Linked DNA regions of Danio rerio. The main gene of each other region encodes a partner of the protein of the gene in region 5 in a complex. Links are inferred from orthologs where the notes say so. Each region holds a gene or a part of one and is shown on either strand. Other genes may lie near its edges. The genes, in order: lsm6, snrnp200, snrpf, sart1, prpf4, snrpd1 and lsm4.

Evidence for each region.
Region 1: prpf4 (region 5) and lsm6 share a complex: the UniProt entries of both Homo sapiens proteins name them as parts of the precatalytic spliceosome. The link is inferred for Danio rerio from reciprocal best matches to the Homo sapiens genes PRPF4 and LSM6.
Region 2: prpf4 (region 5) and snrnp200 share a complex: the UniProt entries of both Homo sapiens proteins name them as parts of the U4/U6-U5 tri-snRNP complex. The link is inferred for Danio rerio from reciprocal best matches to the Homo sapiens genes PRPF4 and SNRNP200.
Region 3: prpf4 (region 5) and snrpf share a complex: the UniProt entries of both Homo sapiens proteins name them as parts of the U4/U6-U5 tri-snRNP complex. The link is inferred for Danio rerio from reciprocal best matches to the Homo sapiens genes PRPF4 and SNRPF.
Region 4: prpf4 (region 5) and sart1 share a complex: the UniProt entries of both Homo sapiens proteins name them as parts of the U4/U6-U5 tri-snRNP complex. The link is inferred for Danio rerio from reciprocal best matches to the Homo sapiens genes PRPF4 and SART1.
Region 6: prpf4 (region 5) and snrpd1 share a complex: the UniProt entries of both Homo sapiens proteins name them as parts of the U4/U6-U5 tri-snRNP complex. The link is inferred for Danio rerio from reciprocal best matches to the Homo sapiens genes PRPF4 and SNRPD1.
Region 7: prpf4 (region 5) and lsm4 share a complex: the UniProt entries of both Homo sapiens proteins name them as parts of the precatalytic spliceosome. The link is inferred for Danio rerio from reciprocal best matches to the Homo sapiens genes PRPF4 and LSM4.

The regions. Positions count from the first base shown.
Region 1 is NC_133176.1:39,344,487-39,349,288, forward strand, and holds the start of lsm6 (U6 snRNA-associated Sm-like protein LSm6), read left to right. Parts: upstream 1-1,468; 5' UTR 1,469-1,562; exon of another isoform or gene 1,563-1,785; coding exon of another isoform or gene 1,786-1,810; intron 1,811-1,910; coding exon of another isoform or gene 1,911-1,915; coding exon 1,916-2,009; intron 2,010-4,802. UniProt on the Homo sapiens protein: Plays a role in pre-mRNA splicing as component of the U4/U6-U5 tri-snRNP complex that is involved in spliceosome assembly, and as component of the precatalytic spliceosome (spliceosome B complex).
Region 2 is NC_133183.1:33,117,153-33,121,872, reverse strand, and holds the start of snrnp200 (U5 small nuclear ribonucleoprotein 200 kDa helicase), read left to right. Parts: upstream 1-1,244; coding exon 1,245-1,289; intron 1,290-4,505; coding exon 4,506-4,669; intron 4,670-4,720. UniProt on the Homo sapiens protein: Catalyzes the ATP-dependent unwinding of U4/U6 RNA duplices, an essential step in the assembly of a catalytically active spliceosome. Plays a role in pre-mRNA splicing as a core component of precatalytic, catalytic and postcatalytic spliceosomal complexes.
Region 3 is NC_133182.1:19,363,945-19,368,607, reverse strand, and holds the start of snrpf (small nuclear ribonucleoprotein F), read right to left. Parts: upstream 3,279-4,663; 5' UTR 3,092-3,278; coding exon 3,089-3,091; intron 2,228-3,088; coding exon 2,102-2,227; intron 331-2,101; coding exon 266-330; intron 179-265; coding exon 112-178; 3' UTR 1-111. UniProt on the Homo sapiens protein: Plays a role in pre-mRNA splicing as a core component of the spliceosomal U1, U2, U4 and U5 small nuclear ribonucleoproteins (snRNPs), the building blocks of the spliceosome.
Region 4 is NC_133196.1:30,364,610-30,368,111, forward strand, and holds the end of sart1 (U4/U6.U5 tri-snRNP-associated protein 1), read left to right. Parts: intron 1-2,231; coding exon 2,232-2,353; intron 2,354-2,437; coding exon 2,438-2,456; 3' UTR 2,457-2,675; downstream 2,676-3,502. UniProt on the Homo sapiens protein: Plays a role in mRNA splicing as a component of the U4/U6-U5 tri-snRNP, one of the building blocks of the spliceosome. May also bind to DNA.
Region 5 is NC_133180.1:62,709,240-62,713,415, forward strand, and holds part of prpf4 (U4/U6 small nuclear ribonucleoprotein Prp4), read left to right. Parts: intron 1-203; coding exon 204-262; intron 263-379; coding exon 380-503; intron 504-576; coding exon 577-666; intron 667-1,966; coding exon 1,967-2,089; intron 2,090-2,262; exon of another isoform or gene 2,263-2,373; coding exon 2,374-2,481; exon of another isoform or gene 2,482-2,565; coding exon 2,566-2,684; exon of another isoform or gene 2,685-4,176. UniProt on the Homo sapiens protein: Plays a role in pre-mRNA splicing as component of the U4/U6-U5 tri-snRNP complex that is involved in spliceosome assembly, and as component of the precatalytic spliceosome (spliceosome B complex).
Region 6 is NC_133194.1:2,232,692-2,237,568, forward strand, and holds the start of snrpd1 (small nuclear ribonucleoprotein Sm D1), read left to right. Parts: upstream 1-1,566; 5' UTR 1,567-1,710; coding exon 1,711-1,724; intron 1,725-2,314; coding exon 2,315-2,391; intron 2,392-4,877. UniProt on the Homo sapiens protein: Plays a role in pre-mRNA splicing as a core component of the spliceosomal U1, U2, U4 and U5 small nuclear ribonucleoproteins (snRNPs), the building blocks of the spliceosome.
Region 7 is NC_133186.1:6,965,679-6,970,644, reverse strand, and holds the start of lsm4 (U6 snRNA-associated Sm-like protein LSm4), read left to right. Parts: upstream 1-1,920; 5' UTR 1,921-2,035; coding exon 2,036-2,038; intron 2,039-3,806; coding exon 3,807-3,848; intron 3,849-4,749; coding exon 4,750-4,848; intron 4,849-4,966. Other genes in the region: probable ATP-dependent RNA helicase DDX49, read left to right, coding at 418-489, 604-747. UniProt on the Homo sapiens protein: Plays a role in pre-mRNA splicing as component of the U4/U6-U5 tri-snRNP complex that is involved in spliceosome assembly, and as component of the precatalytic spliceosome (spliceosome B complex).

The DNA.
Region 1 (4,802 bases), on a different chromosome or scaffold from region 5:
CCTCCACTCCCTCTCAGGTCTTTGGGGGCTTAGAAAGGTGAGGCGGGTTGTACCAGCAAATCAACTGTGCCACTGTCCATCTGAGCTCACCAGCGTCTTGAAGGCAGGGTGAAAACAGTCCCATCTGGCATCACTGGGCGGTTATTACCAACACGCTACTGTTTTCATAGGAGCTGTGGGGTTATTCACAGGCTTGCGGTGAGAGTGGATTGTCTGTGCTGACTGAGGAAAAGCAAATGCTTTTTTTATTTGTTCCCAGTCAAAATTTTATGCACATTCACATCAGTCTACAAAATGTTAAGTTGAAAACTTTTTGAAGGACAGCACATTAAGGTTAAAATGCCCTCTTTATGTGAGACGGACAGAATCATCTTCTACCAAGCAACAGGCAAAACTGAAAGATAAAAAGCTTGTGAAATGCTTTCTGTGTCTGTAGAGCTCTATTGTGTTTTATTCAGTATCGCTTAACAAGCCAAGCCATTCACGCTTTTCCAGTAGTCAAGAAAGCATCATAGTGCTTGTGTCAGCTTCCTTGTCATGATATTCCATATTTGTTTACAACTGAAAATCCCGGTGCTGTGTGCCACAACCGAAAAATCTGTAAACTCGTTCAATTTCTTTCCTTTTTTTCCTTAAATGAATGATTGCTTTGATAGGAAAATGCATTAGATCACATTTTTCTCTCTTAACCCTCCTTTAGGATGTGAACTCTGGCAACAAGGGGAAAAATACTCATTGAATATTCATTAACTCGTGCCTAGGTGTGTACACGGCTCTTAACCACACTTGTTTATGACTTAAGGACTTGTAGCGCTGACCTTAGTTTAACACAGCACCAGATACCAAATTAACCTCTAGCCTCCTCAGGGCTACCAATGCCCTGCTAACAAGCAAACTGTCTGGATGCGCCAGAAGTGCTTTATGATTCTGTCTCTCAGGTGCATCCCCTCCTCTGCCTGTGAACAAAAGACAGCTTTTTCTTCCCCATCTCCCTCTCTCTCTTTTGGCTATACAGGATCTTCTTTTTTCCTACATGTTTTAGCCACACCTCAACTACAACCTGAAGTTGCTTATTATACACAATGTACACAAAATACTTTGACAAACAGACAGACTATCTATCTATCTATCTATCTATCTATCTATCTATCTATCTATCTATCTATCTATCTGTCTGTCTGTCTGTCTGTCTGTCTGTCTGTCTGTCTGTCTGTCTGTCTGTCTGTCTGTCTGTCAGTCTAGGTTTCTATACGTCTGTTTGTTCGTCCATTTTTATCAGCTCATCTGTCATTCTTCTGTTTGTCTAACGATTTTATGTCCTAATGTAGCAAAAGCGACGATTCCCCGTCTTTACTGCCACCGTCGATCTGGCTCTTTTTTCCACTACGCATTCTTTGTCAAAGGAGATAACGCTATCTTGTCGGCTTCCGTACACTGGCTTTCTAACGAAGCATCTGGTTGGCTGAATGGTGTACACACCATGGAACTAGAATAAGCGGACGAGCTCATTGGTCAGCAGTCGCTCAGTCGAAACGTGCGGTTAACGTTGCTAAACGACATAGGTAAATAACGTTAAATGTTGTATGCTTTAATATAAGAATGCATTCGACGTTAGTGGGGTTTTAAAAAACTGCAGCACTGTAGTTACCTTGCTAGATATACGATGACACGTTTATTAAGTGATACGTTGGGTTGGAATGCTAGCATGCTAAATTAGCCGCTTATCGATAACGTTCACCGGCAATTTCCAAACAAATAAGGTTAAACCTCTTCTGGAAACCCCTTATGTGGTTTAAAATAAACGTCTTTAGTACGTTTTGTTGTTATTGTCACATCCTTTTTGTTAACAATGCAGCCATGGTTCATTTTTATAAGAGCTATTCATAAACTTCATTGTCATTCATTTTCAGCTAAAATGAGTCTCCGAAAGCAGACACCAAGTGATTTCCTGAAGCAGATCATTGGGAGGCCAGTGGTGGTGAAACTGAACTCTGGTGTCGATTACAGAGGTACAAACTGAAATATGCGGTTGTTTTTATGTTTGTATTTTACATTTATCATTTACAAGTTATCGAGGGTATGCATGAAGGGACTGATCATATTTGTTGTGTTGGAGGTAATAAAATAGGATGGTTTGGAAGTCAATCTTGAAGAAAACAACATAATTTCCTTATTGTAATTTATTACAAGTTCACTGCCACATGCAAGTTAAATATGGATAAAGTTGTGTCAGGTAAAGTAAGTTTTATATTCCAGGATTCAACGCTAAAGATTTTTTTTTTACTGGCCCGAAACTTTTCACTGGTCTGACCAAATATAACAAGTTACAGTTTTTCTCAGTGGCTTTGGTGCATTTCTCACAGCACTATTTACATTTGCACAACAGTTAATGCATTTCTCAAAATAATTAGTCATTTGTGCACATCCTATTAGCAGTTTCTCATTCCTTCCAACACATTGCAGATGCTTTTGGACATGCATCAATTACTTTCATACAACTCTCTGATATTTATAACATTATCATCTGCTTATGTCAACTAAACTTGTGAATTCTGAGTAGTCATTCCATATAAAACAAATAGTTTTCATTTCATTACTTGAGTCATTACATACAAAAATGTTGAACTAGTTGTCAAAATCTGTTAAGCAATATTTTATAAAAAAAATTAAATCTTTATTTTCCTGATAATGTCTAAAAAATTGAACAATTTCATGATTGATTTATAGACTTGTGTGTATTTTAGTTTCAGTTCCTATATGTTTTGCAATATTGTGTACAGTTGTGCACAACTCTACCCAAAGGGAGTTTGTTTGTTGTAAATAAGGGTGTATGTATTCTTTTGCACAATGGTGTGAATAAATTAGAATTGCAAAGAGTATATACAGTTAAAATGTGAAACATACATATTCAGTTTGTTGTACTCCGATTCCTCACTAAATGCAGTGATGTCTAACTTTACTGTAGTTTTCAAATGGCTGTGCAAATAGTATGCAGTGTTGTCTTGAGCATTTTCAGGAAGTGTCAACAAAATCTGACTTTTTTTGCATTGAAAAAATGTACAGAGTAAACTGTCATCATGAAAACAGGACAAAGCCATGTGACTATCTTGTTCATAAACAATGGTGTCAGGACTTTTCATTTTGATGATACTGGCACTTTGATTAACATCAATACTTGCTTTTGAGGAATGAACTATCCATTTTGAGCATGTGACGCATTTTTGCAGTTTATCATCTAGGTTTTGCAGTTTAAACTAATTGTTTTGAGAAATGCATTAACTGTTGTGCAGAAATGCACTAGTTTTGTGAGAAACGCACAAAAGCGACTGAGAAAAGCTGTAATAAAAAATATCCTAGCCACATATTTTAAATGTTCTGTCAAAAATAACATCTGCGAATGTAGCATTTAATGCTAATAAATCTAAAATAAGCAAAATTTATAGTGTAATGCAGACAAACAAACAAACAAAAAAATAATAGAAAATGTGCAGGTATTTTATTGCACTTTAAAATTATTTAACAAAATGTGGCTGACTTGCCAAACTTGCGGCAAACTGTGCAGAACATCACATTTTTTTCGTCATGTTGTACCCAAGACATTAGAAACAGACGTTTTCTTTTAGCTTAATAATTTGAAGTTGCCGCCTCTTTGCTGTACTGGTTTTTACCAAGTTTTAGAAAAAAATAACATGCTCACATCATCCAATCACATAAGAGGAAGCGAAAAGCAATATGGTGTTTACAACTTCACTGAGAAGGTAGTATTTAAAGGCTTGAAATAACAGTTTCTTAATTTTAAGACCTGATTAGGCCAGTAACGGTCCTGTTTAATGTCCCTAGCATCTCGCACACTAGCCCCGGGCCATTGGGCAGTCCTTATTGTTGAGCCCTGTATTCACATATTCTCACTTTTTTTCTTAATAATATAATTTTAGAAAAGTATTCTTTGAAAATTCTAAATAGTAAAATCATATCAGCAAATGACTATAAAAGTACAACATTGTTCACAGTCAAATAGATAGTACTATGTTGTTTTCATGTCAAACTTACTTATGATTTCAAATCAAATATTCAAAGTACCGTGGGAAACAATATAGGGAGCGTGTCGCAAGTTGTCGTTAAATAAATGTGCGAATATAAAACCAACTTTACCTCAGTTGCTGTATCCTGCTCTTGATCTAAGGCTTTTAGTCTGAAACCTTCCTTTAGTATTGCCACCATTTTCTTACACTTGGATATTTGTTATCAAACTTTTTGATTTCCATGCATTTTATTGTCTAAATCAATATTAAAGACCCTTTGATTTTTTTCCCCAGTGTTTTATTTCCACTTGTTAAAGCAAGAGTGGAGTTTGCATCAACTAAAAAGGAAATTAATATTGGTTGACGTTTAAAATATGAAATCAAATCTATGTAAAAATTAACAACAACTATTCTTAATTACTATACTTCTACTTTTATTATAAAATATAAACAGGAGTAAGTCAATATACTGAAATAGGCCTGCACGATATTGAAAAAAAATGGCAGATTTTTCTGTTTTTCTGCAAAATACATTGTAATATAAATATCATTTAACAAGATAACTTGATAACCTATGTTTAGAAAGAATTCATACATTGTAAAAAACTATTAGTTGCTTTACTTTTTTTTTTTTTTAATAAAAAGTGAAAAGTACCTTAAAAGCTACAAGTTGACTTTGAAAAGTGATTTTAGTGCTTGCTCATTTTTTTAAAGTAAAGCAAACTAAGTGCTTTTTATGGTGCAAGTTTACATTGATTGGGATAATTTTGGTTTTATAAT
Region 2 (4,720 bases), on a different chromosome or scaffold from region 5:
ATATTTTATTGCCATATTTTGTGTGTATATATTTCTATGAATATATAAACATGTATTTTACAGCCATATTGGTGTATATATCTATATATTTTAAATTATGAACATGTATTTTACTGGAAAATGTGTCACATATTTTTGTAAATATATAAACATATATTTAATTGTATATATTGTTATAAATATTTTATACACACACAAAGTTGAAGTCAGAATTATTATCTCCCCTAAATTATTCGACCCCGTTTATTTTTTCCCCCCAATTTCTGTTAAACTGAGAGGAGATATCTTCAACACATTTTATGAACATAACAGTTTAATAACTATTCTCTAATAACTGATTTATTTTATCTTTGCCATGATTATTTGGCTAATAATTTTGTCCCTAAAATGGTTGTTAAAAATTTAAAAACTGCTTTTATTCTAGCAGAAATAAAACAAATAAGACTTTCTCTAAAAGAAAAAAAATATTATCAGACATACTGTGAAAATGTTTTTGCTCTGTTAAACATCATTTGTAAAATATTTTAAAAAGAAAAAAAAAAAAAAAGAGGGCTAATAATTCTGACCTTAACTGTATATAACTAGATATAAACATGTATTTTACAGGGCTTGACATTAACACCTCCCAATTGCAGGTACACTTCAGCTGAGGCAGTTCAGACAGGCAGCCACTGGTGAGTTGAATATAATTTTAAAATTGTAGCTTAATTAAAAGTCCTATGTATATAAAGTACTTTAGTCAAATTTAAGCATCATAAATATATTTTCCCAACGACAAACTTGTGGCTAAATGCCAAGTGGCTAGAAACCTTGGAAAAAGAATAGTGTCTGTAGAGCAAAACCTTAATTAAAATGTGTAGCCTTGGCGTCACTTTTGAAATTCCCTTTTTCAGAAGTCAGATATCTTTAATAACATTACTTTCCAGAAGAGGCAGCATTTTCGTCCACTACACTTCAGTTTGGCTGAACCCGGAAGCGGAAATCACACCAAACTACGTTTTGAAACCGTCGTGCGTGTTTCGAGCGTATGGTGTGGATATCCACATAAAGAAAAGAGAGTTCTTTTCTACTTTAATAATATTGTAGTGTACGCGCTGTCCGTGCACATTAACCTAGTTTTGAATAACTAGCTCCATATATGAGTGCTGTGTGGTTTGTTTAGCAGTCTCTCTCTCCGCTAGCACCGGGTGTGCTGGTTAATACAGAAGACTTTCATTTCAGCGCACTTACAGTAATACGAAGCCATGGCGGATGTTACTGCGCGTAGTTTGCAGTATGAATACAAAGCGGTAAGTTTTATTACATGTCTAGTAGTTTGTTATGACATGTTATATGCTTTGTGGCTAAATTAGATCTTTTAGCGCGCTGAAGCGGTTTGTTTTGGTGTGCGTGAGCTCAGGGATAGTTCAACGCAAATTATAATTCTGTCTGACTCTCTTCTATTGAGCACAAAGTAAGATACTTTGAAGAATGCTGAAAACCGGTAACATTGACTAACGTTGTATTTATTTTTGCTACTATGACGTCAATATTGAGGTTAAGCTGGTTTTTGGTAGATGCGTTCAGTGACCTGTTGTGACATGCTCCCTGTATTGTTTACCATGGTACTTTGAATATTCGATCTGAAATCACAATTAAGTATGACTTCAATACAATATTAGCACTTATTATTTGACTGTGAGCATTGTTGTACTTTGATAGGCATTGGCTGCTAATTTGATTTCACTATTTCGATTTTTAAATTTTTTTCTGAAATTATATTTAGGAGAAAGTCTGAATGTGTGAAAATAATACCAATTTTACCTCAATGGCGTCAGTGGTTATCGGTTTACAACATTTTCAAATATTGTCTTTTGAGTTCAACAACAAAAGAAACACTTAAAAGTTTTTAATAACTTGAGAGTGAGTACATTTCCATTCTTGAGTGAATTGTCGCTTTAAACACGATTTAGAGTTATCTCTCTAGACAGCATTGTGATTAATTTAGTAGATTTGTTGCTTTGAATGATATTAGGGCTGGGCTATTTGGCTTAAATTCAAAATCTCGATTAATTGAACCTTTTTATTTTATTACGATTAATGAACAATTAATTGTTTAATTTTTTTATCCCATACTACAAGTGAGAGATTATTAAAGGGTGCATTACATAATTTTAAAATAACTGAAGGAAACACACACTATCTACTCTCTATTACTATTTATTGAACATCTATGCTGAACAACTGATATTTAAGCACACGTTGCCTTAAACCAGGGGTCGGCAACCCAAAATGTTGAAAGAGCCATACTGGACCAAAAAAAACAAAAACAAATATGTCTGGAGCCGCAAAAAAATTAAAAGCCTTATATAAGCCTTATAATGAAGGCAACACATGCTGCATGTGTTTTTATTAGCTGTATTAGCCTACTATAAAAATGATTTAGTTGGCTACAAATACATACTGAGCCTTCATGATTAAATGTTTTTTTTTTCCTGCAGTGCATCCTGTAGAGAATGACGCACCACGTGACTACTCTTTTGTACGATGCCGTCTCAAGTTTAACTTAATTACAATATTAATGCATTATGTTTAATGTTCGAGTTTAACTTCATTACAATATTAATGAATTATGTTTAATGTTAAAGTTTAACTTCATTACAATATCAATGAATTATGTTTAATGTTCAAGTTTAACTTCATTACAATATTAATGCATTATGTTTTGCTTTGATGAAATTAAAGAAATGCAGTAAAGAAATCAGATTTTTGATGTTTTTTATTTTGAGGATTCCAAAAAACAACATCAAAGTGAACGTGCATAACGTGCCCCTTACTGGGAATGTGCTCAACAAGGAAGGGTCAATCTCCAGGGGTGTGTGACAAGGAAAGACAGTCTCGTTTTTTCCTTTCGCCACTCGCAAAATCTGCTCCCAAAAGCAGTTTGCATATCAACGATCGCACCTTGTAAATAATCACCGTTGAGTGAGTGATAGGGATGGGCTTCTTTGAATTCTCTCAGGGAGGGAAAATGAGAGAGCGTGCCCCGCTGTACATCTTTGGCAAAGACAGCTTACGCTCCATGGCGCATCACACAGCCGCCGGATAGTTTACAACAGCCACCTGCCTATTCCATGTGTCGCAGGCTATGACGCAAATCTTCGTTGACAGAAATGTTGAAAATAAATATTTTACACACTTTTACAGCATTGGAAAACGTTAAGATTGTTTGTCCTCCTATAGAAACCATATTAAAACAAAAATATATTTACCTCCCCCATCTTTTTCTGTTTTCAAACATTTTTTGAAAAAGCTCCAGGGAGCCACTGGGGCAGCGCTAAAGAGCCGCATGCGGCTCTAGAGCCGCGGGTTGCCGACCCCTGCCTTAAACCAACAGTCACTTTTTTTCTATAAATATTTGGAAGCAAAATTAATTATTTTCAATGTTTTCAAAAGTATATAATAAACAGTATCTCTTCTAAATAAAATAACTCTTGTATATCCTGTAAATAGTTTAAACAGTGCATTTCTTGATTTTATTTATTTTTTTGTAAACAAATTATAGTGGAAAATAATTTTATTGTAATAGAAAATATGCTGTCTCAAGGCATATCTGGCGTGGCTTTCTTAATGCAAACTTGCAGCGTGTAGTTACATTGTTTGAGAGGTGCATGGGTATTCTTCCTCTCAAAGGCTGCGCCGGACCATACCCGTGTGTTCGACGCAGAAGTATAAATCAGCCTTAACAGAGCAGGGTCATGTGACTCCACATCCTGTAGGAAAAGATTTTTGAAAAAATTGACCTGGGAAAATTAGATCAATCATAGGTTCTAAATGTTAATTTCGATTAATTTTCAAATGATTGTCCAGCCCTAAATGATATTGTGTTTTAGCATAACGATAAGGATTAGACATGCTGATATTCATACAATATGGTATATACAATATATTGTCATAAATAACATCTATAATGCATGTTGGCATTATAATGTAATGTGTAACAGCGTAATGTTATAACATGTCAGATGTTCATTGAAAATAGTTATATTCTTTATGTACTTGTATGTTAGCACCTTACAGTGAAGCTTCATTTGTTAACATTAGTTAATTAAACTTAATTGATGAATGAAAACTACATGTAAACCGTTTATTTGTCTTGGCAAATGTCAACTTCCTTGTTAATGTTTAATAACTTGTTAATAACTAACATTAACTGCATTACTTTTTTAATGTAGCTATTTCTCACTTTCAATATTAGTTAATGTATTAGTAATGTTTATTGTTGCAAAGTGTTATTTATTGTACTTCATAATCCTTGTGCAATTTAATCTGCAATTTACTTTTTTGTTATTATACCTGTTGAATTAATCTTTTTGAAAACATCACATATTCTTATAAAAGCTTCAACAATCATGGCAACAAGATAGATTTATAGCATCACGCACTTATTATGCATATAGCCAGTTTGAGCTTGAGACTCAAACTTACCATCAAACTGATTGTGAGTGTTTGTGTTTCTTCCACAGAACTCTAACTTGGTGTTGCAAGCAGACAGATCTCTGATCGACCGAACACGCAGAGATGAGCCCACCGGAGAGGTGCTGTCTCTGGTCGGAAAACTGGAGGGGACCAAAATGGGAGACAGAAGCCAGAGAACCAAACCTCAGATGCTGGAGGAGAGGAGAGCAAAGTCAGTCTGATCACAAATGCATCAAGTTTGCTGGTAAAAATGTCTCAAATG
Region 3 (4,663 bases), on a different chromosome or scaffold from region 5:
AAGCTAACAATTTCACAAATAAAGGAGACACAGCTTCACATAAAACTGAGACAAACTGTAAATTAACCAACAAATCTTCCAATCTTGTTAGAAAAGAAACCAACACACTCTTCATTCTCTCATCTCTCCATCTTCTTCCTCTTCTTCTACTCCTCTAATGTACAAAACATTATTACACCTGCAAAGAAGAAAACATTGATGTAATAATTTAAAATGTACATTTTCAGTTATTGCCATGTCGGAGTTTCCACGTCCAAAAGCTTACCTGATGAGCACCTCACCAAGATGACCAGCTAACGCTCCATCCACATACTCTTCTGTGTTGGCCAACTACAAATATCGCAAAGAGAGAGGCAGTTTAGGGTTTATTGCCATATCAGTTTTGCGAGTCTTATAACAAAAGTATATGAAATATACAAAATATCATTACAATATATGTAACAATAAAAAGACAAACAACATTAACAAATAAAATTAGATAAAAACTTAAAATAGTTTAATTCTACCATCTTCGAAAGATTCACTTTTTTTTTTTTTTTTTTTAAATAGTTGCTTTAAGGCACAGGTGTCAAACTCAATTCCTGGAGGACCAAAAGCTCTGGACAGTTTAATTCCAACCCTAATTAACCACACCTGATCAAACTAATTGAGTCCTACAGTCGTTTGAAACCTACAGGTAAAGCGGCAGGCACACTGCACCCCTATAGACTTCCATTTATTAGCAAGTAAATGCCTTAGACAGGAAACGCAAGCTCGTGCCACAAGTTTCGCAGTTCGATGTGTTGGAAACTTAAAGCTTGGTGAACTCTGACCAATAGAAGATCAAAACACGACCTCTCTGTACAGAAATTTTAAATATGGTCAAATCGTAATCAGCTTGTTTAATCCCGCCCCTTTTTGCAGCACCAAACGGCAGAATTTCACATGCTCAAACTGTAGTGTGGGGAAGCAGGGTTGCAACTAAACTATGCAAGACTGCGGCCCTCCAGGAACAAAGTTTGACATCCCTGCTTTAAGAACTCTCCAGATAAAAATGGTTATCTAAAACATTTTAAACAGGGCATTGCAAAAGTATCAACTCGAGTTGAGTTTTATTGTCATTCCGCTACATCTGTGGACACACAGTGAAATGTCTTGCAGGACCACAGTGCAACATAAATAAACTATCATAAATATAAACAACCCTTATAGACATAAGAGCGATTTTAAACCTATACATAACTACATAGCAGAGCAGTAATTAACTATACATGTACTAAAGACCTTTTTGAGGGATGTAAACAATAACAATGGTCCTACTGTATTTTCAGTAGCTTCTGAGAGTCCAAAAAGTCCCACATATTGATAGTTACAATAGCTGTTATAATAGCTGTTATATAAGTTATGAATGAATCGCCTCTTGTTACAGATATGAATTGACAACAAGCAGGAAATATTCATGGGCCAATGGCATCACCACATTGAAACGGTCTATAAATAGTAAAAAAAAAAAAAAACTTTACGCATAACCTTAGACAGACTATACAAGTACTTTTATATAAGACAGAACAATATTGTGCAAAAGAGATCATTTAAGGTTGAAGGAAATGACCAGTTAAACAATTTGTGGTACAGTCACAGGTAAACATTGTTTTTTTTTTTTTATTAAGTCCTTGTAAGAGATCTAGAAAAACTTGCATTTAGAGAGATTAGCATTTCTACAGGTGGTTTGTCAAGCCCACTCACCTGTGTGAACCAATCTCAGAAATGCACAATGTTTTATAGAGCTATGAAGTGGTTGAAAGAGAGGGTCTGGTACAAATAGACAAAACTAGTGCAAGTGTGTCAAGGAGTGTTTATAAAGCCCACTCACTTGTGTAAGGCACACTCAGAATTGCTAAATATTGAGGTTTTCATATGAAGTGTATATGCTTGACAGCTAGGTTGCCATTACAATATTTACATTTTTGGCCACCTTCTGCTTTAAGCAGATGTCTGTGTGTGTCTAGCATCTCCATAATGGCATATACAACGGTATGTCTCGAGTTAAAAAGAATAGTTTAAATTTTCTTCCTACTAAGGAGCTGGATTTTCATAGAATCGTTAACTCTTTTAAACATACCTGCATGTTCATGTACCCATCCACTGACACCAGGTAGCCCTTGTACTCCATGCCCCACTTCAGCTTCACCATCACAGGCTTTCCTGTCAGACCATTCAGAAAGGGCTTTGGGTTCAGCGGCAAACTCTGAGGGAAAAGATCAGTGTTACACAATTAACATCATTCGAAATCAATCCCTAAGTGTCATTTTCAAACAATTCCATGTCAACATAATATTGTTCCTGAAGAAGTAAAATACTACAAATGTTGATGATTTTATTCTCAAGTGAGTGAAAAGCTTAGAAGAAACTTTAGCATAGCCTCCGGTGATGCTCAGTCATATTTGACCAAATAGAAAAAAAAAAAGATTTACATTTTGGGTTTTAGTTTTTTTTCTTCATCAGCTTGTTATAACTTTTAGTAAAAAGTTTTGACACTAGCCGCATGAATTTACACAAGCAAAATAAACAAATAATAAAAACAAAACAAAAACAGATACAATTGATATGACTTCATTTTAAATTGTAATGACAAATTCTCATTACTGTAGTTTGTGGTATAAAAAATCAAAACACGCATGCATACACACAATATATATATATATATATATATATATATATATATATTGTATAACTTCAATAAAACAATATAATAATTTACAGCATTAATTGTTTTTGGTTTCCACCAGAATTAGCTGCAAATAAGCATCAGTAATAGCAGAAAAAACTCCTTTAACGTTAGTTTTTATCTTTAGTTTTCCCACACATATATCATTTAATCGCATTTTGGGAGTCACCGACTAGGTTGTAAGAGAACAAGGAGGAACATTTATCAGCAAAGCTCAACATTTCTAACACAACACTGAAAATGACTGAAAACAACGTCCAGTCTGCGTTCCTGATGCTAACACCTAGCCGCATTATCAGCGTATTTATGAATGAAAACGTCTACGCTCTTTCGCCAAACTGAAGGTTTGGATACAAATAAAAGAGATAACGATGAACTTACCATGACTGGATTACTTAAGTAGTATTTTCAGACACAAAAATTGTTTATTTGAATAGTATAAGCTAATGCAGCACACTCGCACGCCTTGCCGCCGAAAGAGGGAAGGACTACGAGCGCACTTTGACCGCACGGCAGGAGAGAAGAGCGGATCTGCCCGCTGCGCCACTCGCTGGACAGGCGGGGAATAGAGCCGTGAATCCTCAGTTGAGCTGGAGTGGAGGTCTGAAATTAAAGAAATAGTTTATCCAAAAATAAAAATGTACTTACTATAAACTATTTCCGTTTGATGATGTCGTTGGCCCATAAACATTTCCTGCTTGTTATAAAACTGTTTCACAGCTGTATCAAGAGGCAATTCAACCATAACTTAATGTTAAAACAGTTCTTATAACATTATTTATCAATATGTGGCTCTTTTTAGATTCTCGGAAGCTATAGAAATTTAAAATGTAAAACAGGAAATACGTAAGGACCATTGTCTTTTGTTTAGATTCCTCAAAATTGTCTATATAGTCACCCTTGAGGGGTTTCTAACCTTAATGAGATTCTTTTTTTTCATTTGAAAACAAAAATAAGATATTTGGAAGTATGTTAAAACTGGTATTGTTGTTTCGAAAATGTTGGACACCGGTAACTATTGGCTTCTATTGTATTTGTTTTTCATCATATTATAGAAATGGTTACCAGTTTCCAAACATCTTCTTTGGTGTTCAGCAGAAGAAATAAACAAGTGAAGGGTAAGTAAATGAGAACATAATTTCATTTCATCACTATCCCTTTAAAAAAATTAATATGTATAAATTATTTTATATATTTATTTTGTACCATTTTTAACAACTCCCAAAACAGCAGCAGTGGATCATTTTATCATTTCATTCAACGAGAACGGAAACTTGCAATCATTTACAGTCTTTTAGATTTGTATTTGAAAGCACAACACATCTAATTTCTCTTTGATTTGTACAGTAATTTAGCTTTGCAAAACTATTGACCCTCAATTATATAAATAAAAAAAAATGCAAATATCCCACATCAATCATTTAACCGAAGACTTGCCCAGTAGGTTTTTGCATTTCATTACCATCTATTCAAAAGAGGTCATGTTTGAAATGTCATGTACAGTGGTGGATAGTGATGGACAATATTTTCTTCCCCAGAGAGGGTGTATATAGTTAGGTTAGTTAGTTAGCTAGCTAGTTGGTTAATTTATTTGTCCCTGTAGGGTAATTTCATTTGCAGTATACACTCACAGAGACAACTAACATTTCAAATTTGCCATTTATATAAATAAATCATGAAAAACATGGTACCCCTACTCTAAATAAATATCTAGACTACTGGCCATCAACTGCTACTGAGGGAGGAGGAATTTAAAAACTTAACTGCTTACGGTATAAATTAAGATTTTGTCCTATTTCTCACTTATCTGGCAACACAATAGTGATGACCTGATAATAACACTTGGAAGGTGTATGGAAAAGGATGTCACTCATCTTTGACAATCATGATAGCCTTATTTAGTACTCTTTCTTTGTATGTACTATCTATCAATGCTCTTTAGTTTTATTCCCAACA
Region 4 (3,502 bases), on a different chromosome or scaffold from region 5:
GATATTTTTATTTGACGGAAGAAAAAGCATGATTGGAAAAAAATGGTTCTTAAAAATATTTCAGTCAGTGTTTTCATATTGTAATCAACTTTTTTTTCATTTAAATAAAAAATATCTAGGGCAGGCCTACTTATTTTATTCTTTTTATTTAGTTCTTGCTTTTTTCCTGTGCTGTTGGAAACACTGCATCTGCATGAAGATGTGCTGTGATGTTCTGTATGCTGCTGTTTGCATTTTAAAATAAATCTGTATTGTAAAACACAATATTTATGGTGTCACACAAAATAGACACGTCAATTTGTTTTTTAAATTAAGTAATAATTTAATATTTATCTGACCAGTTAAAGGTTAATATTTGGTTCATGAATGGGTTGGCAAAATTAACTGAAATGAGCATCCCTAACTGGATTGTTTGCACTTTGCAGGATTAAGTGTAAGATCATTTTACTTTGCTCAACCAGACGATTATACCAATTAAAAACGTCATTAGCTAGGAAAGGAGTGGTTTGTTTTAAAAATATATATTGTTTAAAATTTTATAATAATTGCTAAATACAATGTATTATATAAAATTGTTGTATTATAAATATGAATATAAATTAATTGACACTTTGACGCTACATATGGGCTTTGTTAAACTGTAAATGCTGCTGCTTCAGTGAAAACATGGAATTGGTGGTGATTTCTTTTATGATAACCCAATAGCATTTATTCATTCAATACAAAAATTATGCTTTTTTAAAATACTTTTAATAGTTTTTATTAGGAACAAATAACAAGTGGAAACAAAACAAATAATAATATTGATTAAAAACAAAAACAATATATAAATATACACATACATGTCTGTCTGTCTGTTTGTCTGTCTGTCTATCCATCCATCAATAACTCATTTCTAATAGCTGATTTATTTTATCTTAGCCATGATGACAGTAAATAATATTTGACCAGATATTTTTCAAGACACATCTATACAGCTTAAAGTGATATTTCAAGGCTTAACTTGGTTAATTAATGTTAACTAGGCAGGTTAGGGTAATTAGGCATGTTATTGTATAACGATGGTTTGTTCTGTAAACTATTAAAAAAATCTAGCTTAAAGGGGCTAATAATATTGACCTTAAAAGGGTATTTAAAAAATTAATAACTGCTTTTATTCCAGCCGAAACAAAACAAATAATTCTCCTGAAGAACAAATATTATTAGACATACTGTGAAAATTTCCTTGTTCTGTTAAACATCATTTGGGAAATGTTAATAAAAGAAAAAAAATCAAAGGGGGGCTAATAATTCTTACTTCAACTGTATATTTATTTACACAGACACACACACACACACACACACACACACACACACACACACACACACACACACACACAAATGCATAAATTCCACACATATGTACATACAAACATAAATATTACATTATCCTCTTCAAGAAATAAATAAAAAAAAAGTTTGCTAAACTTATTCTCAATGGTTCATAACCTCTAAAATTATGTCAATGTTAAAGTATGGAAAATTATATTGTCATTGTGGTGAAAGTCAGCCATTAACTCCATTTTTTTTCCAAAGATCTCTCTTTGTAATCAAAATGCATGTGTCATTATTTCAATTTCAAAGATGATGCATTTAATAGTTAATCAGAATGTGTAAAAACTCATTTAATATCAATTTAAGAGGGGAAAATATCCCAAATATGCGGATTTAAGTAATTACCAGCTGATATACAACACTGGATAAATTCTGCTTAATTATATTTAATAATCATACTTCCTATTTGGACAGATCATTTTTATTCCTAGAAAGTCTGAATGAGAAGCACATGGAGATTTCTGAATAAATAAAGAGATTCTTCACCCAAAAATACAAATGTACTCTCAATTCGCTCTCTTTTAAGATCTTCCAAAAAAAAAGAGGATATTTTATTTCTTATGTTCAACACAAAAGAAGATGCTTTGAAGAAAGATGAAAACCTGTAAACACTGACATCCATAGTAGAAAAAAAATACTATGGAAGTTTATGGTTAGCGATAAAAATTTTTTCAAAATACATTCATTTGTGTTCAACAGAAAAAAGAAACTCAAACAGGTTTGAAACAAGGGTTAGTAAATTGATTGATTTTTCTTTTTTTTCAGTATAGGGTGAACTGTCCCTTTAAGGCTGAGCTCTGTATACTATCATTGTTGTCAAACTATAAAGCTAATGTCCATTTTGCTTGTCCGTGCAGCTGCTGAAGAAGATGAGCAGCAGTGATACTCCTCTGGGAACCGTGGCACTTCTGCAGGAAAAGCAGAAATCACAGAAAACTCCTTACATTGTGCTGAGTGGCAGCGGGAAAAGCATGAACGCGTACGTATTTTATTTACACTTTCCTTTTCATTCTGTCTGTATTCTGTTCAGTAATTGGTTTTATCTTCTTCTTTTTGTTTACAGAAATACCATTACAAAATAAATCTTTATTCTGGAACAGAAGGACAGAAAATCTCACAAAATGCGCTCATTTTAGCTGTCTCCTAAACACAGTTGCAACTGGTGATGTATATACAGACATTGTCTTGTATGTGAATTTAAGTCCCTTATTTGATTTAACTTTTTTGTTTTGATTGACAGTTCTCTGTAGAACCTTATCTGTCTTGTTTTTTTCCCCTCAATAAAAACTGTTGCGATTTAAGACTGGGCTAATGTCATCTGAATATATATATATATATATATATATATATATATATATATATATATATATATATATATATATATATATATATATATATATATATATTTTTTTTTTTTTTATTTACACTGATTATATCTGGTGTGGCACAGTGGCTCATTGGTTAGCACTGTCGCCTCACAGCAAAAAGGTTGCTGATTCGAGTTGGCGTTGGTTTAATCCAGGTGCTCCGGTTTCCCCTCACAGTCCAAAGACATGTATTAAAGGTGAAATGAATAAACTAAATTGGCTTTAGTGTATGAGTGTGAATGTGAGTGTATGGGTGTTTTCCAGTACTGGGTTGCAACTGGAAGGGCATCCTCTGTGTAAATCATATGCTGGAATATTTGGTGGTTCATTCTGCTGTGGTGGATGAGGGACTAAGCCGTAGGAAAATGAATGATTATATCTTACAATGTTTTTCACTCAAGTTTAGATCAGTTCTGTTTCTTGTCCAATTTAAATCTAAAATCTTCTGGTTTGAAGGTTATTGGCAAACCATAAAGATTTAAGATGACAATTAGTATTACGGCTACTTGTAATTTGTCAATTTTTTTTTACATGATTTTAATCAACATAATATATTATGTTGTTCATAATTATAAGGAAAAATCGGTGGCAATAGCCTAGAGGTTAAGCGCGCCAACATATAGCACCATAGGGCTCAGGGTGACCCAAGTTCAATTCCCGACTCGAGGTCCTATGCCCAACCTTCCTCTCTGTGCTCCCAGTGCTTTTCTGTCTCTCCTCCACTATCCTATCCCAATGAAAGATGAAAAACCCCTAAAATT
Region 5 (4,176 bases):
ATTAGAAATGAGTCTTAATTAAACCTCAATGCAGCACACAGCATTGTTTTGTATGTTTCTTGCTGTTGTTGGTTTTTTTTGTATATCTTCGGTTCAGTATTAAAATACGAATAGAAATGTGAATGCTAAAACATGGCTAAATGTATCATTTTGCACCAAACAAACAGAGCTGAACTTGTATTTATAAGACATTTCTGTTGTAGGTCGGGCTTGTGTAAATTGTGGAAGGTCCCCGATTGTACTCTTATACGCACATTAAGAGGTAAATACAGCAAATATATTCTGTAATGTTTATTCATCAAGTTGTCTGTTTGTGTTCTAGTTTTTGAGGAGCAGCTTGTAGCGTTGTATTAATCGTTGGTGAACCCTTCCTCTTCAGGTCACAATACCAATGTGGGAGCGATTAGCTTTCACCCACAAGCCACACTAACACTTGAGGAGTCAGATGTCAATATGGCCTCTTGTGCTGCAGATGGATCTGTTAAGCTGTGGAGTTTAGACAGGTGTGTATCTTTTAGGATTATGTAAATCTGTTATCTGAAGGAAAACTGTAACATTCACCTGTTTTTTTAATAGTGATGAACCTATAGCAGACATTGAGGGACACTCTATGAGGGTGGCTCGGGTGACCTGGCATCCCTCTGGCCGGTTTCTGGGCACAACTTGGTATGAATCTATTTATATTTTGTCAATTTGTTTTAAAGAGCTCCTATTTTGCATTAAAAAATGTAATTTTCTGGTTTTGGGGGTCTCCAGCAACTCGCTGATCTGCATGTAAGGTCAAAAAACACTTTCATTGTCTTATAATATGCATTTTTTTTTTTACCTAATTATCCCAGCGACTCCCATATGAATCATTCAACGATTCATTAGTTCCCAAACCCCTCCGTAGCGCAAAGCTAATCTGCAGTGATTGGTCCGATGACCTAATTTGTTGTGATTGATCAACTGCTTTTAGCACGAGACAGAGAGAAAAGCCCACCATGGCTATGAAATAGCAGCCAGAGAGTATGTTGGAGCCCAATGCAGGAATTCAATAAATCAATGCAGTTAAAGGCCAGCATATTGCTCTACTCTTAACCCAAACCCCAAGTAGTAACAAAGACACACAGTATTAATCCACAGTATTCAGTATTAATCCACATTGTTGTAAAAGTTAAACTATTTTAAAAAATTGACCATGCTGCGTGTGTGAGGAACAGCTGATGGTGGCCATAGCAAAGCATAGCAGAGGATCGCCAGTTCAGAAACTCACTTAAAATTGGTAAAGGTAGAAGCACGTGTCACGTTTTTACCACGTTTTTTTTACGTGATATGTAAACAGCCCCATACAGATTTAACCTGAGAGATACAGTACAAGCACGGGTGATTACAACTTATAACACACAATTAAACGCATATTTTGCAAACTACACAAAACGGGGCAACAATTTTTATGCCACTTACATGTTAGGATCCAAAGGAAGAAGAAACTGGTCCATTTGAGCTGAAAAAGTCCCATAGTCTCTGCTGCTCCTTCAATAGCAAACGGTAGATGCAGCGTAGGTTATTGTATCAAAAATTCATCTTCACATCATGGTCAGTCCTGCGATCCCCCGCGCCTCCACTAGTGTGTGGAGGGAGAGAGCATGCATATTTTAACGGAAGTGGAAGTACATATTTGGTGATGTACTGTATTGATGTCGATGCGATCTAACAAAATATCCAAACCCAACTTGATTCGTTTATTTGACTGAGTCAAATATTTCGCTAAAGAATCAATAGTTTTAAACATGCTGCACTTTTAGATTTTAACCTCAGCCTCACTTAGAGCTGTGTAACACGCTGCATGGAAGGTCATTTTCAAAAACTCATATTAGGGGCTCTTTAATATGTGAACCAGAACAATAATATGAATATTAGATGTTTTGATCAAACGTTTGTGTTGTAAAATAGTTTTATTAGCTTTTTTCCCCCTCTCTCTAAGCTATGATCACTCATGGCGACTTTGGGATCTTGAGGTCCAAGAAGAAATTCTTCATCAGGAGGGTCACAGTAAAGGCGTCCATGATCTGCACTTCCACCCAGATGGCTCTTTGGCAGGAACTGGGTAAGGGCCTCACACTAAACCCTGATGCGCTCCACTGTTTTTGTAATAGAATAGGCATAAACTCTTCAGCTACTTTCATAATCATGATTAGACACTCAATTAAAAACTTGACTTAACCCAGTCTGTCTACTTGCAGCAATGGTCTTGTATAAGAAAAGCCTAAACCACATATATTTTCACTTCATGAAGTTGTTTATTTAAACAGCTTTTTTTGATGAATTAAACTTTTCACAAAGGATCGAATGTTTGATTATTGCTTTAATGCTCTATTGCTTAATGTACAGTGGTTTGGATTCATTTGCACGTGTCTGGGACCTGCGCACTGGTCGCTGTGTCATGTTCCTAGAGGGCCACATCAAAGAGATTTACAGCATCAACTTTTCCCCAAACGGGTGAGTTAATGTAACCCCGTATGATTATTTACCAAAGCCGTTCACTGTTATAATGATCATAACCCTGCAATCATCATTATGCAGCTTTCATGTGGCAACGGGAAGTGGAGATAATGCCTGTAAAGTGTGGGACCTTCGCCAGAGACGGTGCATATACACAATCCCAGCCCATCAGAACCTTGTGTCCTCTGTCAAGTTCCAACGTGAGTATTCAAATCAGGATGTTTGTTTTGTGCATCAGTGATTTAGAGGGATGGTTCACCCAATAGTCCTCACACTCAATTGGTTTTAAACTTCAGTTGAACACAACAAGATATTCTGACGAAACGGCAGTCATTGAAATCCATATTCGGAACAAAACTAGAAGGAAGTCAATGACTGCTGCGTTTCAACATCCTTCAAACTGTATTTTGTGTTCAACAGAAGAAAGAAACTCAGGCTTGGAAATATAAATAATGTCAGAATTTTTTATTCTTGGGTGATTTTAAGATTTTAAGGCTGGTTTGAGCCCGAAGTTACCAAGCTCGCTGACAGATCAGGCTGTGATTGGGGAAAAATCTGGGGGAGCGAGGCAGGCTTTATGCGTAAACTACTGAACAACGCATCAAAAAGGCTCGCTGTTGCGTTGCTGAAACCTCGCAGATGAAAATCCAATATCTAGCATGCTGAATATTCCAGAGCAGTCGGCCCACTCGACCCCATATGTGGTCAGATGTAGTGATGAGCTGCAGCCAACGAGAGAGCACATCAGGCATCAGCATGCGCTGAATGGCCATTGTGCTCGGGAGCTAATAGAAACGTCTGTGATTGGCCAGAGTGGGCATAGATGCACTCGTTTCATTCGGTGTTAACACTGATATGAGAGTAGGCTATATTAACAAAGGAACTAGAAATCTACATATATTAGAATTACCATACTGCTCATCTGACCGTTCTCAAATAAGACATTATTTTCCATTCAAAGCTTCTATTGAAATATTAAAATTAAGCTTTAAATGTCTGTCATATTTCATGACACCACTACCCTAAAAATATGATCTTTTTGGTAATACAGCCTATAAATATGTAGTTAAAACAGTAAAACACCCAAAAAGGTTTGGGCCTCGCTTTTATTTTCAAACAGGAGCTATTTTACACAGAATATGCTGTTTTGAAAGTTATATCTGAAGTAAATTTCTGTTTTTGCTATCAGAAAGTTGTGTTTATATTAGCAGGAAGTTGCAAGGCACACATGTTTAAAGTCACAGCGAAAAGTAGCAAACATGCATGCAGTCATTTTGACCGATATGGTGATTAAAGGTAGAAATGCTCAGTTCTTTTCTGTTTTGTAATTAAATAAAATAACTAGAAAGAAATACACAGATATTTTGGAAACGTCAGGGTGTTATAGATGTCCGTTGTATTTCAAAAAGTAATCTAATTACAAAAAATTTTAAACTCTGACTGTTTTTGTAGGTCTAGTGTTAAATCGATTGATTCACTGATGCATCAGCTGATTGAAGATGTTTTTAAATGCTCCATTCAAAGCTTGAAACTCTGTCAGTGATGTCATCAGCACACAAGCAGCCAATAGTGTTCAGCTTTTTCTGACGGCTCCTCCCTCAAAAATGTATTGACTGGTTTGGTAGTTGGACTGAGCTAATGGGGAACGAGTTGCTGTCAGATCATCTAGTGTGTGACTCCTGTCTTGTGGAT
Region 6 (4,877 bases), on a different chromosome or scaffold from region 5:
TCGCTCACAACATCGCTCTCCCGCGGTCTGAAGCGCTGCTTTATGCTAGTTTAATCATTTATTCGGTATAAACCCTCGGGGATTTCTCATGATGAAAAGCGAGGGTTTGATTTCTGTGTTTTAATCCCTCGATCCACTTTTGACGTGATATTTCAATGAGCGCTCACTTCCGGGATTCACTTCCTGCCGCGGGGTTGCCAGATTCGTTAAATTAAATCTTTTGCTACGTGAAAAAAGTGTCTGAATTTAAAGCTGTATTATACTTATATTATCTCGAAACCCAATTAAAGCTTAAATATGACTATTATTGCTGTTTCTGTTAATTAAAGTATGTTTTTATTAATTTATTTACCTTTACTTGAGATATCGCCACGGGGTTGCCAGATATTTTAAAATTGAATCCACAACTGTGCATGAATGTTATTTTTAATAGAGAAAATATAATTACAAAGACAGAAGAAACTTTATATTATATTATAGTATATTATTTATTCATTATCTAAAATAAATAGTATTTTAGAGATTCACTGTAGTATAAAAAATACGTAAAAATTGTTTAAATTTAAAGTTGTATTATACTTTTATTATCTTAAAACGCATCTAAAACTTTAAATTTGATTATTATTGCTGTTTTGGTTAATTAAAAGTATGTTTATATTAACCTATTTACCTTTACCGTGAGATATTGTCACTGTAGGGTTGCCAGATACGTTAAAAATAAATCTATTCCTGTGGTTGTTAAATGCAGCTTTTTTTTTAAACTGGGAAAATATAAATAGAGTAAAGACAGAATAAAGCTTTCATTATATTATAGTATCTTATTTATTCATTATCTACAATAAACAGTATTTTGGAGCTTCACTTTGATATGAAAATGACACTACATGAAAAATTGTCTAAATTTAAAGCTGTATTATACTTTTATTATCTTAAAACACAAGTAAAGCCTTAAATATGGGTATTATTGCTGTTTTGGTTTAATAAAAGTGTGTTTTTATTAACCTATTTACTGTATCGTCACTGTGGGGTTGCCAGATACGTTAAAACTAAATCTATTCCGGTGGATGTTGAATGCTATTTTTTTGAATTAAGAAAATATAATTACAAAGAAAAAAACAGAATAAAGTTAATATTTTATTATAGTATATTTTTATTCATAGTCTAAAATAAATCATATTTTGTAGCTGCGCTGTGATATGGAAAAGATTTAAACATTTATGAAAAAAAAGTGTCAAAATTTAAATCTGTATTATACTTTTATTATCTTAAAACGCAATTGAAGCCTTAAATATGATTAATATTGCTGTTTTGGTTTTTTAAAAGAATGCTTTAAGGAAACTATTTACTGTGAGATTAAATTATTGTTGTTTTGGTTAATTAAAAGTGTATTTTTATTAACCTATGTACCATGAGATATCGAAATTGAAAAATACTTTTAAGCTATTATCATAATAAAAATTGTTGTAGCAACATTTAAAATTTTAAATTCGCTTTTGTATGTTTATAACATGCTTATAAATGAAATTACCAGCGTGTAAAAATATTCCGGTGATTTTGTTGAGTAATGGCAACCCTTCTGTCCTCAGAATTCTGTTTCCCTTTCACCCAGGAAGTGATTGTACCATCTCTCCAGTAGCGTCCTACATTCGTTTTGCGCTACAATTTTTTCTCATCTAGGTGGAGGATTTTCTCTCAAAGTCCACCGCCATCATGAAACTCGTCAGGTAATAAACATCTACAGCTGTCATACAAGTAAAATACACAAAGAAACTTTGCGGATGCGCGATGTATTTTAATAGATGGAGCCGGATTGTGTGTAGCTGCTAGTTAGCCGTTAGCTTCATCAGGCGGGAATGAATGAATGGGCGAGCGTTTGTTTGAACGTTTTACTCATTTGTTTTAAGCACATACGTGTTTTAAACTATGTAATAAGCGGGTTTAGTCTTAGATTATTAATACATTGTGCGTTTTTTGGTGGTAGTTTGATCATGCGGGGTCTTAAATGCAACAAATACATAAACAGAAACAATAACTGTTAATGCTAAGTTAGCTACATTTATTTACTAGTTTCTAAATATGCTAGCTGTATATAATCATATAATTATGTTAATAGACACTATAGTGTGTAGTTAGGAAGTCTAAAGATTATTGGATATATAGTTTATCATTTGTTTTAAATATAGTTATCAGTTTATTATCATTAGTAAGCTGTAAATACTTTATATAATCATATTGACAAAATGCTTTATATGTAGATATTAGACGTTATGTTATTATAATTGTTTATCATTGTTTTTATGATTGTGACCTGCAGGTTTTTGATGAAATTGAGCCATGAAACCGTCACGATTGAGCTGAAGAATGGCACACAGGTCCATGGCACAATTACAGGTAATTATTATTTTAAGTAATGCACCATAATCACATTTATAAACTGTCTGCTATGTGCCTGTTTCATTAAATGAGGTCATATTATGCATTTTCTCTTTGAATCTGATGCATTACATCTCATAGGTGGCCAATAAATGTGCTTATATTGAGGTGAAGTTGGTTTTATATTAGCAGGTTTAGACTTTGGCGTTCTATGAAATAGCAAAGCAGTATTTAAAAAGGTGAATACAGATTCATTATTTTTTACCACGCTGCTTTGAATATTTGATCTGAAATCACATATAAGAATGACTTCAAAACAATATTAGACCGTAAACAATATTGTGCTTTATAGTCATTTGGTGATAATATGATTCCCCTATTTAGTATTTGCAAATAATACTTTTCTGAAATTATATTAAGTCTGAATGTGTGAATATAAAAACAACTTTACCTCAATTACATCTGTCAGCTCCCGGAAAAAATGCATTTAACCTTTTAGCTGAAAATGACTTGACTTAATTGGATTGTTATGCAATACTGTGCACCTTTTATAAAGCTGCTTTGAAACACTAGTCATTGTAAAAAGCGCTATACAAATAAACTTGAATTAAAAAGACTCATTGTATATGCCCTATATTGTGCTAATAATAATAATTAGAAAACTTGTTATACTTTGTTGATGAATTAATGCCACTGAGTCAGACTCGTATTATAATAATCATGTGAGCAGAAAAACAATAGATCATGGTATTGTGTGAAAATTTACATCTTTACTTGTGGAGATTTTCAATTTTTAGACCAGTGATTCCCAAAGTGGGAGTCGGGACCTCCTGGGAGGTCGTGAGTCCTTGAGGGGGGGTTGCTTGGTGATTTCCAATATATACATATAAATAAATTATTAAAATTACCATATTTTATCCATAACCTGCAGAAGATAGTGTTTAATAGTTACATTTAAAACAAAAACATGTACATAAACAGACAGCAGCGTTTACATTATTTTTCCATTGGATTACGACTCCTTGAGTGATTACGCTAGATTAATAACACAGCAATAGTGTTAGTTGCAGCAGATTTATTTTACGGCTCAATGTTAAACTTTGACACATTTACAGCACTCCTGTACATTAAAAATAAAGGCCACGACTGAACATAGAGGACGATCTCCAAGTGGCGGTCTCCGAAATTAAATCAAGAATAGACTTGTGCTGTATATATTTCACAATTCTCATTAAGTGAGGTTAATATTAAATTAAACAAATGAATAGTGACTATAAAATGATATGGTTGATAAACTGCTGCACTTTTGTTGTGTTGTCAATAAGCTTGTTTATATAGTTGCTATTGGTTTGTGTGTGTGCATTATTGTGTACAGTGTTTGTATGCTTATTACTAGGCCCACACTTATTTTGCGCGAGCTGAATTCCGCTGATGTTTAGCCCATCATTAATTCTGTTTATTTACTTGAGTAAATGTGTGTAAATCTATATTAATTCAGTTTTTACATTTATTTCAGTAATATTATTGACTAATATGAAAATGTTCGTCTGACTTATGTACAATGCAGTTTGTACCGTAATATTTTCTGTCTTTTAGTAGAGATATTATATGAGAGACTTGCTTTGTTTACCAAATAATGTGAATCTAATTGGATTAGCATTTTAAACATTAAATAAAAATTATATAAAGATATTTTTTTTTATGTCATATATTAAGGTTTTAGTTATGATACTCCCAAAATAATTCCGCAGATCTTTACCAAAACTCTCCGCAGAAATAGCAAAAAACGCCCGCAGATTCCATCTGGCCCTACTTATAACCACCTCAGAGGATAGTGGGGTTGTGAGTTACTAAAATTGTTATTTTGGGGGTCACGAGTTAAAAAGTTTGGGAACCCCTGATATAGATCATAGCAACTTTTCATTTCTTGCTAGTTGTAATACACAATGTAACTACAGAAGAATCAAGTGAGATGCTAATGGTCTAATCTGATTCAATGATTTATGCTAAGCTAAAAGTGCTCTCACCAGACCCAGAAATCAGCTAAACGGATTCATAAATGGGAAAACTCGCCTGTTTAACTCTCTAAGGAGTTGTAAAATGAGACTGTTTCTTTAAAAAAAGAAGTTGACTATTCCTTTTAAAATTGTTAAACACGCAATGGACCCTTTTCACAGGACTGTTATGATGCGTTTAATAGTCATCAGTAGAGCTGCACGATTCTGACTGTAATGAGAATTGCAATTTTTAAATTTTTATTTTTGCTTGAAATCAAAATCACGATTCTGTAGATCTAAAATAAAGGTTAATATTAGTGGGCTATTATTATTGTTATTTCTCAAATATATAGTAAAAAAAACTATATTAATATGTAGGTCTACTGTTTATTCTCATGCACAACACTGTTCGCTAAGAAAGAAAAAAGCATATCAAATGCTTGTAGTCTAATCATTACTCCATTATACCATATGATTATTCAAGTGTTGTGCACGCTTACAGGTTCA
Region 7 (4,966 bases), on a different chromosome or scaffold from region 5:
CTGGGAGTCCTGCAAGAACGCTTTCTTTGCCATTCCTGATGACTTTATTATTAAGTTAATTGAGTCTTTACAAATTCCTCCATCAAAGATGAGACCTTTTATCAATGTTTACATTTTAAACGAGTGGCAAGAAGAATGGGATGCATTGGAAAATTATAAATTATATGAAATTCAACCTGAAATCTCACACAGAAGACATTTTAAGACTAGATTTGATCAAGTTGTTTTTACTAGATGTTGTATTGGACAGAAGAATAACCCATGTTTTTTGTTCCAAGGTGAAAACCCTAAGAAGTCAAGTTATTATTTGTTGTTCCTAAAACTTAAATAGGCGACAAGACTTTTGTCAGGTAGAATATATACACTTATATATCTAAAGCATGCTATAAAGTTTTACAATTGTTAATTCTTTTATAGAAATTAGAGTCGACAGATTTTGATGAGAAAAAGAAGATAAACAAAAGGAAGCAGATGATTCTGGATGGAAAAGTGAGTTATTTTTAAAAAAAACTTGTATATTTGTATGTTTCTTATAAAGTATTTTTGTGTACATGCATAATTTTACAATTTTTTTTCCTTGATTTAATTTTAAATCTATTGCAGGATCCTGATTTGGAAGAAAAAAGGAAAAATGAATTAGAGAAGATCCGAGGAAAAAATAAGAAACTCAAAGGAAAAAACCCCCAGAGCAAAAAGGAAAAGAAAAAACATGAGAAAAGTGCAAAAGCGACAGAAGTTGGCTCTTAATTTCCTCTCTTTTGTACAATTTAATATTATGTATATAGCGTGAATATGCTTATATTTAATAAACATGTGATGCAGTGTTGACTGTGTTGCTACATGAATGAATGAATCTGTGTTGATTTTTTTATTTTATTTTATTTATTGCTTTTTTCTGTGATTTCCTACATCTTTTGGGTTTAAAATTTTTTTTCACAATTTAGAGTTTTTACACTTTTTTTTTATTTTATAGCATGTCCACTGTAGTGGACCACAGGACCATTTTAGATAGAGGTAAAGCTGTTTTTCTATTCACATATTCCTTTATTTAGAAGTCTCTATATTGTTTACCATGTTACTTTGAATATTCGATCGGAATTAGCATGCAAGTCTGACTTCTAAACAACATTAACACTATCTAAATCACTGTAAACAATGCTGTACTTTAATAATCATTGGCTACTAATACGATTTCCCAATTTAAAATTTGCTAAGAAAACTTTTCTAAAATTATATTACTAAGGGGAAAGTCTGAATGCGAATATAAAACCAACTTTACCTCTATCCATTTTGGTTCAAAACAACCGCCAAACTCGGACAACAAAACTCTACAGGATATGGCTGTAAAGGGATATTAATCCAATATCAATGTAACAAAAAGAAAACAAAAGCCATTTTTTCCTTTTGTGTTGAAATTCCTGAAACAGTTTAGTCTAAAAGAGAGCCAAACTCAAAAGAAAAAAAGAGGTGATGTTAATTCAAAACAAATTTAACATAAAAGGTATTTATTTAATTGTCTGATTGTCAGACTTTAAATCCGAGTCTCCCTCAACTATCTTATAAAGAATCCTTTCTGCTTCCATTCTGCCCCTACAACATGCAGTCATTAATTACATTAATATGGTCCTGGTGTCCTTGAAACTTTCTGCATGAAGGACTCATAAATGGCAGATTAACCTGCTGCTGGATGATGTGTGGATGATTTACACGGGGCATAACTAAGCAACACAGCGATCTGTTAAGGAGGAAGTAGTAAGTCTCAAAGCTTGCATACTCTTTTGTTGCACACTCAAAAGTATAAACTTTTCCTTTACAAAAAAGTACATACTTTTTAGGGCGTAGTATAAATATGTGATTTGGGACGCAGCGTTTTGGGACTTTTGCTTTGACAACTTCCGCTTTCACCTGGAAGTACAACAGTAAGTGGTTTGCAGATCGCCTTGTGCTGCGAAGAAGATTCACAGAAAATCATTTGTGATTGAAGTCTTCAGTGGATTAAAACTTCATATAAAGACTGATTGGTCATTCAGCTGACATGGTGAGATGAAGTCGATAAACTTACTGGCTAACGTTAGTGAAATTAAGATTTTCCGCTGTGTTTATTGGATGATCTGTAGGTCGGTTAACACCGATTACGCGCAGAAACAAAGCGTTGTGTAAACGTTTTATTTGGGTGTATACACGAATCTTTACAAGCACGTTACGTACTTATTTAGTAAAATAGATAAAATTAGTTAAAAATCAATGTAGACGGCTATTATACATTTATTACTCTATTAAATTATCTCTACAGACATGCGAGGAACTTCAGAAGTCAGAAAGGTTTTGGCGTAGTTTTATCAAGAATATCCAAAGTCGGTTTTATATTCGCACATTCGTTCAGTGACAACTTGTGACATGCTCCCTACCTTGTTTACCATGGTACTTTAAACATTTGGTCTAAAATCACATGCAAGTATACTTGTGTATATGACTTGAAAACATCATTAGTGACCAGCCCGTCAACAACCATGCCACCTTCATAGTCACTTAAATCCCCTTTCTTCCAGCTTTCTGATGCTCGATTTAAACTAACGTTACAGCAGATCATCTTGACCATGTGTACATTCCTGAAGGCATTTCGATTCCGCCATGTGATTGGCTGATTAGAAATTTACGTTAATGAGCAGTTCGACTGGTGTACCTAATAAAGTGGACAGTGAGTGAATGTTTAAAATATATAAGCAATGGTACCTAAATAATCAAGTAAATCATCTTGCATATAGAGGTAAGTTTAGTTTTATATTCGCATATTCAGACTTTCCCCTTAATAATATAATTATAGAAAAGTATTCTTTGCAAATTCTAAATTGGAAAATCAAATTAGCAGCCAAATGATTATCAAAGTACAGCATTGTTTACAGTCAATTAGATGGTGTTAATGTTGTTTAGAAGTCATGTTTGCACGCTAATTCCGATCAAATATTCATGTTAAACATTATAGGGACTTCTAAATGAACGAAAATGCGAAAATAAAACTAACTTTACCTCTATATCTTACGTCAATAGTTTTTTTTGCATTATTATATATGCAGCAGAGAATGCAATTCGCTCCTGTTATGGCTTATATGAATAACAGGACTGAGTTTTTAACATTTAATGATCAAATACATGCTAAATGCTGTACGCTGTAATCTCTCGGCTGTGTATTTTAAACATGGCAGGTTTTTTGTTTTCATTCTGGCTTATTGCGTAGACGAATGACGTATTTCTGTAAACCTAGAACATTCAGTTGCACATCTAGCTCCGCCTTTTGGTACCCTTTCTCGTGTTTGGTATCCTTTCGAAATGGTGCCTAAGAAGTGGTACAGTTCGGTTCGCCTTTTGACAGTGCAAATGGCCATAAAAGCGTACCAAACCGAACCGTACCACTCAGTGAAAACAGGCCATAAGCGATTTGTTTTTCAAATATTTGCTGAATCGTGGGCTAACCGGTGTCTTGAGATGTAGAGGGTCCTTTTCTGCTGGAGATAGTGTTGCTAAATGAAAACTAAATGAAATCAAACAATCAAACAAAACTTGCATATAACATAGAAAAAATATCTGAAAAATAATAGCAATTTTAAAATTTTAAGTTTTCCAAACCGCTGTTAACCTTGAACCCAGTTATTGTCCTATATGCTCAGTCCAGGGTCACATATTCTGGTTAGTGAGTGTAATCTCCAATTGAATAACAATTAACAATATTCCATTGTGAGCACAGAAGAAACTCTTCATTTACTCTGTTGTTAGCATGACCACTCGAATTCTTTCTTTTTCTTTTCTAGCTCCCGTTATCTTTACTGAAGACGGCACAGAACCACCCGATGGTGAGTATCAAGCAGCTCACTTCATGCGTGCATCTTTATTGTCAGCACGAAGTTAAAGGTGCCATGATCAGGGATCATACTGTCCTGAAAAGTCATGGAATTTTGACAAGGCATTTTCCAGGCCTGAAAATGATTTGGAAAAACAAATAAACCCAAAATGTTATAACGATGGTTTGTTCTGTAGACTATTAGAAAGATATATAGCTTAAAGGGGCTAATAATATTGTCCCTAAAATGTTTTTTTATTTATTTAAAACTGCTTTTATTTAAGTAAAACAAATAGGACTATATATATATATATATATATATATATATTTATTTATATATATATATATATATATATATATTTATTTATTTATATATATATATATATATATATATATAGTACTTCAATTAAGAGCAGAGAGGGATTTTCTCGTTGTTTTATTAATTATGATAAAACAGGCGGCAGCTATTGTGCTCTGTCACTTTAATGGTTTCGCTTTCACGCGTCATTTGATTCTCAACTCATTTGTTTATTACACAAATGAGGGTTAATATGAATAATCACTAAATACTGCGTTTTGACACCTGTTTGAACATTAAAGCGCTCACGTTAATGACTTTAGATGTGTGTGCTCTCTGCTCGTCGCAATGTGCGAATAAGACCAACTGCTGACCGCATGCTTCTGACTGTGTCTGTGCGGCGCACACACACAAGCATGTGGTCTTTCGCGCTTTTAAGAGCAACAAGTGAGGACAATTGGACGGGGGCGGTAAATAATGGAATAATCGTTTATCTCGATTAATGTTTTTTTATAATCGTTAGAAGCCGAAATCGAATTTTCGATTAATTGCACAGCCCTAAAATGAAGTGCTGAACAATAATTGAGCTTTTAAGTTAATCTGCTTTTCTTTTCAGCTGGTTGAGTTAAAGAATGGCGAGACATACAACGGCCATCTGGTCAGCTGCGACAACTGGATGAATATAAACTTGAGAGAAGTTATTTGCACTTCACGGGTAAATACGACTTCATTCAGATGAAAACGTCTTTGGGAGACTATTGATTCCTTACAAAATTAAGCAAAACACTTGTTTGTTTTATTTAAACAAATCTGCAGGTTATTTATTTGTCTTG